Linked DNA regions of Mus musculus: regions 1, 2 and 3 are each reported to be linked to region 4. Evidence: microRNA targets listed by miRTarBase, many of them from high-throughput screens and not tested one by one. Region 4 holds a microRNA gene; each other region holds the end of a gene's coding sequence.
The links. The annotated mature microRNA mmu-miR-466f-3p reads CAUACACACACACAUACACAC and lies in region 4 at 2,128-2,148, opposite strand. An mRNA with a match to its seed (bases 2 to 7 or 8) in the 3' UTR can be bound and repressed. Matches are read on the target gene's strand: a 7mer-m8 pairs with bases 2 to 8, a 7mer-A1 pairs with bases 2 to 7 and ends in A, and an 8mer does both.

Region 1: the mRNA of Fam189a1 is a reported target of mmu-miR-466f-3p. The part of its 3' UTR that is shown has no 7-base or 8-base seed match.
Region 2: miRTarBase lists Piga as a target of mmu-miR-466f-3p. Seed matches in the 3' UTR shown: 7mer-m8 at 1,197-1,203 and 7mer-m8 at 1,441-1,447.
Region 3: the mRNA of Igsf9 is a reported target of mmu-miR-466f-3p. The part of its 3' UTR that is shown has no 7-base or 8-base seed match.

What each region holds. Positions count from the first base shown.
Region 1 is chr7:64,756,490-64,759,620 of GRCm38, reverse strand. Fam189a1 (family with sequence similarity 189, member A1) reads left to right here. Exons shown (of 10, transcript NM_183087.4): 10 at 208-3,131. The coding sequence ends at 524. Among named protein-coding and RNA genes, the nearest start is that of Nsmce3, 110 kb to the left of the region's middle.
Region 2 is chrX:164,431,254-164,434,362 of GRCm38, forward strand. It overlaps Piga (phosphatidylinositol glycan anchor biosynthesis, class A), which reads left to right. Exons shown (of 6, transcript NM_011081.3): 6 at 377-2,662. The coding sequence ends at 643. Among named protein-coding and RNA genes, the nearest start is that of Asb11, 4.2 kb to the right of the region's middle.
Region 3 is chr1:172,498,214-172,501,344 of GRCm38, forward strand. It overlaps Igsf9 (immunoglobulin superfamily, member 9), which reads left to right. Exons shown (of 21, transcript NM_001145800.1): 21 at 144-664. The coding sequence ends at 325. It overlaps Tagln2 (transgelin 2), which reads left to right and starts at 2,033. Exons shown (of 5, transcript NM_178598.2): 1 at 2,033-2,119.
Region 4 is chr2:10,471,024-10,474,154 of GRCm38, reverse strand. It overlaps Mir466f-3 (microRNA 466f-3), which reads right to left and starts at 2,202; the gene lies at 2,109-2,202. All of the region lies in intron 10 of Sfmbt2 (Scm-like with four mbt domains 2), which reads right to left. Mir669d-2 (microRNA 669d-2) reads right to left here and starts at 2,511; the gene lies at 2,426-2,511. Mir297a-2 (microRNA 297a-2) reads right to left here and starts at 1,901; the gene lies at 1,812-1,901. It also overlaps Mir466o and Mir467c.

The DNA.
Region 1 (3,131 bases), not on the chromosome of region 4:
CTCACCTCACTTCAACCCTTTGAAGTCAACAGGAAATTCACGCCAGGCTGACAGGAAATTAAGTGACCCAGGGAACGGGGTCACACGCAGTGGTAGCAACTCTCCCCTGGTACACTTGTGTTTGTTTGTTTGTTTTTTTTTCCTGGAACTTCGGTTTCATTAAGTTCACGGTTGTATTCAGATTGCCTCTTTCACTTTGATTTCTAGTCTCCACATCACAGCCAGCCATGGCTGCCTGTCAGCACCAGCACTCATCCACTGGTGACCCAGATACCTGGAAAACGGGCCAAGGGACCAAGCCAGAGACCTTACAGACCGTCTCCAAAGAGCGGCCACACTCTTTAGTGGAGAGCAAGGCCTATGCAGACACCAGGGTTCTGGTGGCTAAGTTTTTGGAACACGCACACTGCAGCCTCCCTACAGAGGTGCGACATGTGGTGGGCACCATACGATCAATGGCCACCTCGGAGGAGCCCAGGGTGGAGGAGGCCATCTTTGGTGCTGGCGTCTTGGACCAGCTGTGAAGCTGCTATGGGCCTGGATGTGGACACTGATAAGCCTGCAAAGTCTGGCCCTGCAAGATGCCACCGTGCTTGGTAGAGAAAGGCCTTTGGCCTGCTGGGTCAAGAACATCCAGGATATCCAGGAAGCTCGCTGGTGGCTTGGGCAAGGAACTGTTACTCTTTCTCCCATCAGTTGTCTTCCTGGGGACTGTTTGTCGCCTGTCCCACTAACTCAGAGATGTTTCTCTCCTGCCCTTAGTGAGCTCTGGTCGCTTCAGGGGTATAGCACCTCTTGAACTGAAGAATGTGATGGGAATACCAATTCTGGGACAGGGGACACTTTTGGAACATAAAGACACTGCATCTGTCCCAAGTCAAGGCCTTTAACACTCGATGCTCCTCTGTGCCTGGTTTGGTTCAGTGTTAAGATTAGAGAGTAGCAGTGGCAATGGAGTCGTGTGGCTGGTATCACTCTGCAATGACACCTTTATCAGATTCCGACCCATTACTTCCTCTCAAAGGCAATAGGTCATGCTAGCACAGCCTGGGACCACCTTCTTGCCCACTGGGCTATCATGCAAATAAATCCACAATGAAAGCTTTCCTACATACTCTTGGGAAGCAAGCACGTGTCACAAGGGCTTGAAATGCCCACCTTCTCGTGTGTACTGGGCCTCCCCATTAGGCCTCTGTCTGTGGGCTGCTACCCACCTCCTCCCTAGGTCCCTCCCACACAGTCTCCCATCCTTGAACCACAGCAAATACTTGTTACTTGTGTTTTAACAATAAGCTCCCTTCTCTTCCCTTGGAGGACTTCCCCTTGTATCTGACCTCACCTAATTGTGCTGGGTAGGTCACAGTCTGGGCTAGGAAGCTACTGTCTGCTATATGTGCACCTCCGGCTTAGGCAAGCCTCTCTCATGACCCAGAGTTGTCCCTTCTCAACTCAGGTGGCAGCAGGCACACTTGTGTTGAAGGATGCAAATGGTCAATGCCTTATTTCGGGGAGAGTGCCAATGGTGGACATCCGGAAGCAAGGCAAACCCAGCTTAGGTATAACCAGGTGGCTTGGGGCAAAATGGCCACCTAAGACATTCTTGGCTGTTTCAGACCGCATTTTCTGGCAAGATCAACAGCAACCACTTCTCAGCAATGGGTCTGGAGCAGCACTGCTTGAAAGCACTTCCTGCAAAAGCCAGAAACGCCCACATCTGCTTCCCCCACAGCAGCAGGTATAATCAAGGGCAATCACTGCACCGCCATGGGCCTGTGAGCCTCAATATAGGCACAGAAGCCCTAAGTCTGTGGGTGGACCAGAGTGTTCCTTCCATTGTTCAGTGGCCAGCTGGTAGGCATAGGATACTCTTCTCTCCATCTTGCCTGCCCTTGCCTGTCCTTCATCCTCTACTACCCTGATTCAGCCCCCCCAAATTCCCTGTATCCACTAGGCTGAAGACCTCTGTGTGTTTGGAAGTTGTGGGACTTCAGCCCACACATGGCCTCGGAAAACCCCTAGCAGCCATCAGTTAGTTCTCCATGCCCTGATGGCTTTACCATTGCCATAAGCTGTTGCCTTTCTGAGGTTAGCAAGCTGGAAAATATAAATCGGGCATTTGACAGTAGTCTTGGCTTTTCCACAGGAGACATAATAGAGATGAATATTTGAGCACTTTATTCAGACTATAAAATTCTCTAATTTTCCCTCAAGTGAGGACTTTGAAAATCCCCCATGAGAAAATCCCTTTCAGTAGAGTGGCTTGCCCCAAGCTTCATAGCACGAAGTACTTTCACGCCTGGCTGCTGGGCTTTCTCACCACTTCAGAGATGAGGGGAAGGGAGGCAGCAAGAGGATGTCGCCTGATTGGAGGGACATGCAGCAGTGTGCTTAAACATTTGTGGATCTCAGAACAAGCCATGATCCAAGAGAAGCCAGGGCCGACCCCATTCCAACTGACCCAAGCTTGGAGGTATTTTCATAGTGTGGCCAGGGTGACCAGTTTCTGGATTCAGCACAGGGCACTGTGGCTTTCATGCTGCCTCTTTACAGATGGCCTTCAACTATCATGGGGCACTCCTGCCTCAAGTCACACCTCTTTTCGGGTGCAGACTAACACTACCACCGGGAAGCCCCGAGTCCCAGACATTCTCAAGGAAGTGGTACACACAAACTATCCTAGCTAGGTTATGAGATGGCTCCCCTAACAGGCTTATAAGATGGATAAAGAAACTACAGCACTTCATGCTATTGGGTGGGTGTTTGATGACAGATATGTCTTTGTTTACCTTCTCTGGGCCCCAGATGGACCAAGAGGGCATTAAAAATGCCCAACCTCCAGGCTTCCAGGAAGCCAGAGGTACTGGTAACAGCCACTAGACAACAGTCTTGCAATTTGACTTGTCTGTTCTGGGTTCCTTAACCCTGCCTCAGTGGTGAGCTAGTGCTAAGAACCCCAGGCAGTTATGTGGGTCCCTTGCGGAAGCAAAGCCGTCTTTCTTCACATTGCCTGCACAACCTTCCATCTTGGAAGGTCTGTCCCTGCTTGTGTTGATATCTGAACTGGGTCCAATAGTAACCATTTGGGAGGAGATGCTCTCATGCCTGGCTTGCCAGGCCCTGGGCCCCCAGAA
Region 2 (3,109 bases), not on the chromosome of region 4:
ATAGTGTCACCATCTATAAGCAGCCCAGTGTGGTGACTGTGTGTGCTGTCTACTAGGCATTTATGAGAGCTTTCTCCACCCAGTCAAGGCATTAGCCCAGCTTAGCAGTGTGCCTACTGAAAAAGCTTTCTGACCTTAGAGGACTTTGGTTTTCCAGTAGTCAGGTGACTATCACCTGTTCTATGGGTCACTCATTGTTCAGCCCAGAATTAAGTCAATGGTAAGCATTGTTCTAAATAACAGCAAACATGGGTGATTTGTCTCTACTCATGTTTGCCAGTTGCTCCCGGTCAGTGTGGGTCACGGGTCACCCTTTGTTACAGGCACATGGTGGCTTGGAGTGCTCACTCATTCATTGTCACCTTCTCTCTTGCAGGTGTATGAGCGAGTGTCGAAGGAAACTGTTTTGCCAATGCACAAGAGATTGGACAGGCTCATCTCACACTGTGGCCCTGTGACGGGCTACATGTTTGCTTTGCTGGCTGTGCTCAGCTATCTCTTCCTCATTTTCCTGCAGTGGATGACTCCAGACTCTTTCATTGATGTTGCAATAGATGCTACTGGGCCAAGGAGAGCCTGGACTCATCAATGGCCTCGTGATAAGAAAAGAGATGAGAATGATAAGATATCCCAAAGCAGGTAGAAGCAAGCCCAAGTTAACAAGTCCTATTAGATACTTGCAATAGTCCTGTTAGCATTTGAAAGGAGTTTTGCTCCTGTGTTGGGCTTTAGAGTTGGATTTGCTACCTCTGTATGGTTCACTTTTGTTGTTGCAAAAAGATAAACACTTATGCAATTCCTGAGTGTGGGAACTCCTTGCACTTCTTTAAAATTTAGGGGATAATGGTTTAGCCACTCAGGTAGGACAGTTTTCAGATTACTGAGACCCCCCTAAGCAGAGATGTTTTAACATTATATTTTGGGAGCCTTGGGTGCTGAAAGGCCAAATGTTTCTGGATTGTTTTTGGCCAATTTTTCACATTATACCATTAATCCACATTCACCAGATGTTTACATGCTTTCTTTAGGGAGGTACAACAGTTATGTGAACTGTTTTAAGGCAAGGTCATGTATCCTTCTCTGGGCATCATTGAAGTCATGTTCCTAGACACTTACTGGGTCCACTCAAGGGATACGTGGAATGTGATTTCTTGAGCAAGACCATCTATTGGTTGCCAGCATGTTTGAACACCTGCTGTGTATGAAAAGTTGACCTAGATGGTTCCTGAGACTAAGGACTGGTCAACGAGAAGTGGTAAAACTGTCAACATGGCGAAATGCTCAAGCTACTGAATGACAGGAGATCATCGCTGGCATACACCAAGTACCTTTCTGACCTGTTCTATGTATATGCATTCTCTTAGGAAGAGCCCTTCTCTCTCTCTCTCTCTCTCTCTCTCTCTCTCTCTCTGTATGTGTGTGTGTGTGTGTGTGCGTGTGTGTGTATGTGTGCACGCGTGCGTGTGTGTTGTTGCTTTTTATGTTCTATGGATTGACCGATACAACTGTTGATGCTTGTGCTGGCCAACCCTCTGCTTTTATAGTGCACAGTTCAGTCCCCCATAAATGCCTTTATGGTTTCTAAGCAGAACAGAAAAGGTGTGCTATCTCAAAACCAGCTGCTCTTCCTGCCCTCTGTGGAAGCCCCTTCCTGTCACTCTGGTCTTGCCCATCTCTGATAAGTATTGCCAGTGTGGGGAAAGGCTTTTCTCCAGAATGGTTTATTTAGAGCGTATTAATTCTGAAACTCGTCAGAGCTCGCAGGCTTTTTGTGGGTGGAATTTCTCAATCGTAATTAAGGTTTCCAGAGCCATGGGTTTTTAAATCCCAAACTGTATGTGATATGTATTATTAATCCTTTGAACTCTTTCGCATGGGTTTGTGTGGGGAACAGACTAAAATGAGAGCAGCGAGCCACTTGTGGGTGTTCCATTCTGTCAGTATTGTGATTCTGTACAGGAGTTTTTTTTAGCGACATTTGCAAAACTTTTAAAAGAGTATCTTAACATGCCTATTACTTGGTTGCCACCGATATAAAAGAGATATATTTGTGTTTGGTTTCTATGGAAACAAATGGTAGAGAGTAATTTTTAAAATATAGAAGTTAGGGCTTCTTTTATTGGAGAAAAATGACCTTGTCCAAACCGTTCAGTCTTATTTAAATCTTTATGCGCTGAGACAGGCGTACAGGTTAACAGTGCCAATATCCACGGTAGACTGAGGCATGTGTAACACTTGGCTGTATTTATTCTACTCTATTATTTCTTCTATGTTTGCTTCTAGCTTTTATTAAAATATCATTAAATGCTTCAGTTGTTCTTTATTTAAGATGAACATAGAATTGAAAATTAATTTGCTCTTGTGGGCAAATATGTAATTTATGAATTAAAATTGTTTTCCTTTTTTGAACAAGTAAAAATAAAATTTGTGTGACAGAAACCATTTTCAGGCTTCCTGGATACCTTAGTTGTCAGTGTTGTACTGGTCAGGATGTGGGACACTCTTCCACTGTGCTACTCATAATTATCTGAAATGAAATTAGCGTGGATGAGGAATCGTTGGAAAGATACTGTGTTGCTTTTGATGTCATACACATGAAACCAGTGTGCTAAAACATGCTCATGTCCAGTAATAAAGATGAGAACGCTGTTTTAATAGTCTTATTTTTGTCTCAGTTTGTCTTATTTTGTGGACAGGATGTTACTCGTGGAATAACCCCTCCTCCACCTTTGCTGAGTGGATCTAATGTGTTGCCTGGTCTATTAGTAAAAGAGGAAGTGTCCTTTGTCTAATGTACCACTCTGTCATCTTTTATTTCTAGAATATATGCTCTTTTGTATTCTTGAAATAGAAAGTTCAATTGCACCTTTGTCTCCTGATTCCAATAAGCCCTTGTTCCTCCCTGCCAGTCATCACAGAAGGCAAATGAATGCATCCACACACTATTGTGTGTGTGAACTACGTAATTACACTTTTTATGTTGCCAGCTGTCTTAAGAGATATTTGAGGTCTGGAGAGATGGCTCGATGGTTAAGAATACTGACTGTTCTTCCAGAGGTCTTCAGTTCAGTTCCCAGCAACCACATGGTGGCTCACAACCATCTGTAAT
Region 3 (3,131 bases), not on the chromosome of region 4:
TCTCAGGCTCCCTGCCCTGCAGCATCTCTTGTTCCCTAGGCTCCCTGTGCTGCACGCAAAGGCCTTTTGGAGCCTCAGGACTCAGCCCTTCAGCCAGTGAGTCACGGCATCTCTTCTCACACAGTCCTGTCTTCCCCTTGAAGGTGTCAAGACTCCAGAGGAGAGCTGTCTCCTGAACCCAACCCATGCTGCCGGCCCCGAGGCCCGCTGTGCTGCCCTTCGGGAGGAATTCCTAGCTTTCCGCAGACGCAGGGATGCTACCAGGGCCCGGCTACCAGCCTATCAGCAGTCCATCTCTTACCCTGAACAGGCTACTCTGCTATGAGCCCGCTTAGTGTGAAACTAAGAAAGGCTTATATGGATTTGCAAAGGAGTCCAAGACTTTGGCTCCAAGCTGGGGCACTGCCCCTACCTCTCTGTGTCTCGGTGGCCTGGTGGTAGGCTTGAGTGAGCTTGGTATAGAGTTGGATGTACTGACTCTTTAATTAGTCTGGGAGCTGAACAGGAATGTGTGTGTGTGTGTGTGTGTGTGTGTGTGTGTGTGTGTGTGTGTGTGTGTGTGCGTGCGCGCGCGCAAGCGCGCGTTCGAAAGTGGTGTTTATGGTGTGGGTGCAGGTTTCTTTTTTTTAAAAAACAGGTGAATAATAAATGTCTGGAAACCGTTTCTCTGTCACCTCTCTTTGTGTTTAAGAGAGATGAGGAAGTCCCTGGATATGTACAGAGAGGGTTCTGAATGGGACACATTCAACAGTCATTCAAGAAAAAAGTTGTTGAGTGCCTAGTAGAGATCTGCTGTTAGGCCAGAAGCCATGAGAAAATAGAGAAATCACTGGGATAATGCCTTTGTCCTTGGGGAGTTCTCGCTAGTCACTGAGGCCAACTACGCACTGTGATAAAGCTGTAAGCTGGTTATCACATTGGCACAAAGAGTTCAGTTTGAGTCAATATTTAGTAAATACTTAAAACATGTGGGGATTCCTGGGACACTCACAGGAGACTGCTCAGAGTTCTTTCCATGTCCCGTCCACCGCCCGGAGTTTATTTTGTAGACTGGGCACGGCAACTAAAGCCAAAGGTGCTTTTGTAATTGACCAGAAGCCACACAAGCAGGTAACAGGCAGAGCAGGTGACGGGGCAGTGAAGGAAACCCACTTTCGGGCAGAGGAACACCCTAAAGGCACAGGGGACTGAAACTTGACATTCTGTGGGTCTGAGCGGGACTTTGGGGAATAGAGAAGTCAAAGGTCAGGGTGGAACTGGCTGCTGTTCTTTTAAATATCAGGCTCAACGGGGGACTCCATAACGTGAAGAAAGAAAAACACTGGTGGGTTTTAAATGGGGAACTCCGCTAACTACAGCCTGAAAAAGTAGGTGTTCTGGACACCCCTCAACTATTGCTCTTCACTCTTAAGGGGTAGAAAAGTGCCTGCCAACTTCCTCCACTAAGCCCCCGCCTCCAACCCTCCAAGATCTAAGAAGAAATGTCAATTTATTAAATGGGAGATGGAAGGGAGAGAGAGAACTGGGTCTGAATCCCAGGTCCCAAGCCCTACCACACCCTCAAGGCCCCGGGCAAGGAGTGACCTCACTGTTCTTTTTTTTTTTTTGCCCGGGCTTGAAGTTAAATGGCAAGCAGAACCACGTGGGGGTGCTGTCCCAGCCTGTAAGCACCAGACCTATTACTCCTTACTCTATCCTGTAGGAAGGCGCTTCCTGGACCTGAATTTACAAAAGGCCGGCCTTTTTGTAATAGTAGGCTTCTCATAGAAACAGGCCTGCGATCCTGAGCTAGCTAGTCTAGGCAGAAAGTTTCCTATTAGGATACAAGTCTATGGCTGGTGAATGCAGGTTGAGGATCCCCTGGGCGGAGACCTTTTGCAGCGGCGCCAAGGACTCCGCAGGTCCTTTACGGCTCATTCCTGCCTACTGACCACCTATCTTAAGCGCTCCAGCATTCCACGCGGCGGCGCCTTTAAACCCTCTTGGCCCTTGCCCCGCCCCTGGTCCGCCCCGTCTGAGGCGGGACCCCCCAGAAAACTCCAAGCCCGGCCGGGTCTTGAGCTCCACTCGCCGCTGCAGCCCCTGTCGTGCGTGCGCTCTCATCCAGCCCTCTTGGACGGTGAGCAGGACTGAGGGACCAAGGCAGCGGGGTGGGAGTTGGGGATTATGTGTGTGGTCTGTAGAAAGCAAGAAGCCAACACTTGAGACTTGCTTCTGGGAGCGTGGGGGTTGAAGACTGGCGGACGCTGGGGTCCCAACTGGGTGCCCCGCCCCGTGCTGTCAGGTCCGGTTCCCAAGCCTTCTCTGCATTGTTCAGCAGTTAAGCAAGGCAAGTTTTACGGGTGCACAAGACGGGGCGTCCGTCCCGACCCAAGAGGTCTGGTCCCAAGCCCCAGCCGTTTGCTCCAGCGTTGAGTTCTCTTTGGGGGGAGAAGGAAGGAGGGCGTCGGACGTCCGCAGGCTGCTGAGTGGCCGCAAGAACTAGGTTCTGGCGCGCGCTCCGGTCCATGAATTTACCGCGCGCCCCTTTCACTTCCTGGTCCAGGAGCACGTGTGGGTACTGCCTGCCTTCTGTGACCCCGAGACCGCCCTTTTGCCCCCCTCCTGCTAGTTCGTTTGTCCGGGTACTCGGGGTCACAGGTCTCCGGGAGTTATTTGCACAGTAGCCTGGTCTTCTGTGAAACCCCCTTCTTCTCCTGGAGCGCCTTTGACCTCGGACATCTCCGGGCTGCAGCCCTGACTGCACTCGGATGTGCCCTGTCTGTAGGGGTTGGCTGCTATCCAAACTCTCTTACCCTAGCCTGAGACCCGCTGCCCCCTCCCGTGCCCCCTGCTGCTGGGAAAGCCGGTGGTGGCCGCGGGCGGGCGGGCGGGCTGCCCAGACCTGCGTCACCCCAGTGGCGGGAGGGCGGTGGGTGACTCATCCACATTAACGGCCCAGGCAGGGTGTGGCCGTGGGGGTGGGGGGGACGGCCGAAGGGGCTGGACCGGAAGTAGATTACCTCCTTTTTGGGCTCTGCAGGCCTACCTGTGTTCCTATCCGAGAGGTTCTGGGATACGTGGTATCTGTGGAGCAAAAGCAGCGGTGATGGCAAGTGGAGGTGCGGTGTAGGAGACCAGTGGCTGGACGG
Region 4 (3,131 bases):
AACTTGCACTCCTGATCTTCCCGACTCTACCAAGGGTTTTCCCGTGGTTTGTGAGACCTCACCCTGGCCCAGTCATACATAACCTCCAAAGCAGTAGGTCACATATCATTCAAATGGATCCGTGAGGGCCATTCTCGCATGTCTGTGTGCATGTGTGTATAGGTGTGTGTATGTATATGCATAAAATATACACACATATACATGCACGCACTTATGCACAAAGGCACATGCATAGGGGCCATCACATTATTCCAGGATGATCTCTAACTGCTCATGAAGTTAAGCATGAATTTGCACTCCTGAGACTCCTAACTCTGGCAAGCAGTTTTCATCTGGTAAGTGAGATGTTTTGCTATCCCATGAATATACACTCAATGAAACTCTAAGCATGCATAAATCAAATGGATGACTACCATGTGTGTTTGTGTGCACATGTATGTGTCCATATGTGTGTGTATATGTGTATGTATGTATGTATATATATATATATATATACACATATATATATATATATATATATGCATGTTCATATACCCACATTTACATGCACACGTACCTATACACATATACACATACACGGGGACAATCACAGAAATTCCAGGCTGTTCTCTAACTCATCATGAAGTTAAACATGAATTTGAACTCCATATTCTCCTCCCTCTGGCAACAATATTCACCTCCTAACTGAGACATAGTTCTGGCCATTCCTGTGAGTATGTGTGCATACAGCTATGTGCATATTCATGTAGAGAAGTGAATATGCACACAGCTATACACACATGCACATTCTTGGAGGGCATCACATGAATCGCATGCTGATCTCTACTCATCATGAATTAAATATGATTTTGAACTCCTCATCCTCCTGACTCTGGCAAGAGTACTCACCTCCTAACTGAGCCATAGCTCTGGCCCAGTACTGCATAAGCTCTAAAGCTCTAAGTCACATACCATTCAAAAGGATATATGAGTGGCATTCCTGTGCGTGCATGCGTGTATATGCATATTCATATAGAGAAGTGAATATGCACACAACTATACACACATGCACATTCTTGATGGACATCACATGAGTCGCATGCTGAACTCTAACTCATCATGAAGTTAAACATGAATTTGTACTCCAGGACCACCTGACTCTGGCAAGGGATTTCACCTGCTGAGTGAGACCTCTCCCTATTCAGTACTGCAGAATCTTAAAACTCTTAGTCACACGTCATTCAAATGGATCGATGAGTTGCATTCATGTTTGTGTGTCTGTGTACATGTCTATGCGTGTGTAGATATGTATATTCATATACACAATCCACACACAGGTACACGCATGTACACATACATGGGGGCATCACATGAATCCCAGGCAGATTTCTAAGTCATCATGAAATAAAGCATGAATTTGACCTCCTGACCTCCTGATTCTAACAAGCATTTTTAATATGATGGGTGATAACTCTCCCTGACCTAGTCACACATAATCTCCAAAGCTCTCAGTCACATAGATTGATGAGTGAGTGCCATTCCTGTGTGTCTATGTGCTCATATGTGTCTTATGTGTGCATGTATGTATATCATATTCACACATGTACATGTACACACACATCAACACATACACACATACATAGGGGCAATCACATGAATGCCAGGATGACCTCTAACTCATCATGCCTTTACCATGACCTTGAACTCCTGATTATCTTGACTCTGGCAAGGGTCTTTACTTGGTGAGTGAATCCTCTCCCTGGCCCAGTCATACAGAATCTCTAAGACTCTAAGACACATATCATTCAAATAGATCGATGAGTGGCAGTTTTGGGTTTGTGTGCATGCTTGTATGGGTATGTGCGTATGTATATGTATACTCATATACACACATGCACATGCACACATACATATACACACAGGCACATACACTGGGGGCATCACATGAATCAGAAGCTGATCCCGGACTCAACATGAAGTTGAGAATGAATTTCGACTCCTGATCCTCCTGACTCTGGCAAGATTTCCACCTTGTGAGTGAGAGCACTCACTGGCCCAGTACTACATAATCTCTAAAACTCTAAGTCACATATCATTCAAATGAATAAATGAGTGTCGTGTGTGTGTGTGTGTGTGTGTGTTGCGTGCGTGTGTATGTGTGTGTGTATGTATACATATATTCATATACACACATGCACATGCACACACACGTAAACACACATGCACATACATGAGGGGCATAACATGAATGTCTGGATGATCACTAACTGAAATTGAGCATGAATATGAACTCCTGATCCTCCTGACTCTGTCAACAACTTTCACCTGGTGAGTGAGACCGTTCATTGACACACTACTGCATAATCTATAAGACTCTAAGTCACATATCATTCAAATGGATCAATGAGTGCCATTCCTGTGTTTATGTTTATGTTTTTGTGTTTCCGTGCATGCGTGTGTATATGGGTGTGTATGTATATGTATATTCATATAGACACATATACATGCACACACAAGTATACACACATGCACATATATAGGGGGCATCACATGAATCCAGGATGATCTCTTACTCCTCATGAAGTTAAGCATGATTTTCAACTCCTATACCTCCTGACTCTAACAAGGGTTTTCACCAGGTGTGTGAGAATTGACACTGGCCCTGTCATACATAATCTCCAAAGGTCTAAGTCACATATCATTAAAATGCATCGATGAGTACCATTCCTACATGTATGTTTGCATGTGTGTGTATATGTGTGTATGTATATGTATATTCACATAAACACATGTACATGCATACACTTCTGCACACATGCACATAAACGGGGGACATCACATGAATCCCAGACTGATTGCTACCTCATCATGAATTTAATATGAATTTGAACTCCTCATCCTCCTGACTCTGGCAAGAGTACTTAACCTCCTAACTGAGACATAGCTCTTGATCAGTACTGCATAAGCTCTAAAGTTCTAAGTCACATACCATTCAAAAGGATATATGAGTGCCATTCCTGTGTGTGCTTGCGTGTATGTGCATATTCATATAGAGAAGTGAATATGCACACAGCTATACACACATGCACATTCTTGTTGGGCATCACATGAATCGCATGATGAACTCTAACTCATCATGAAGTTAAACATGA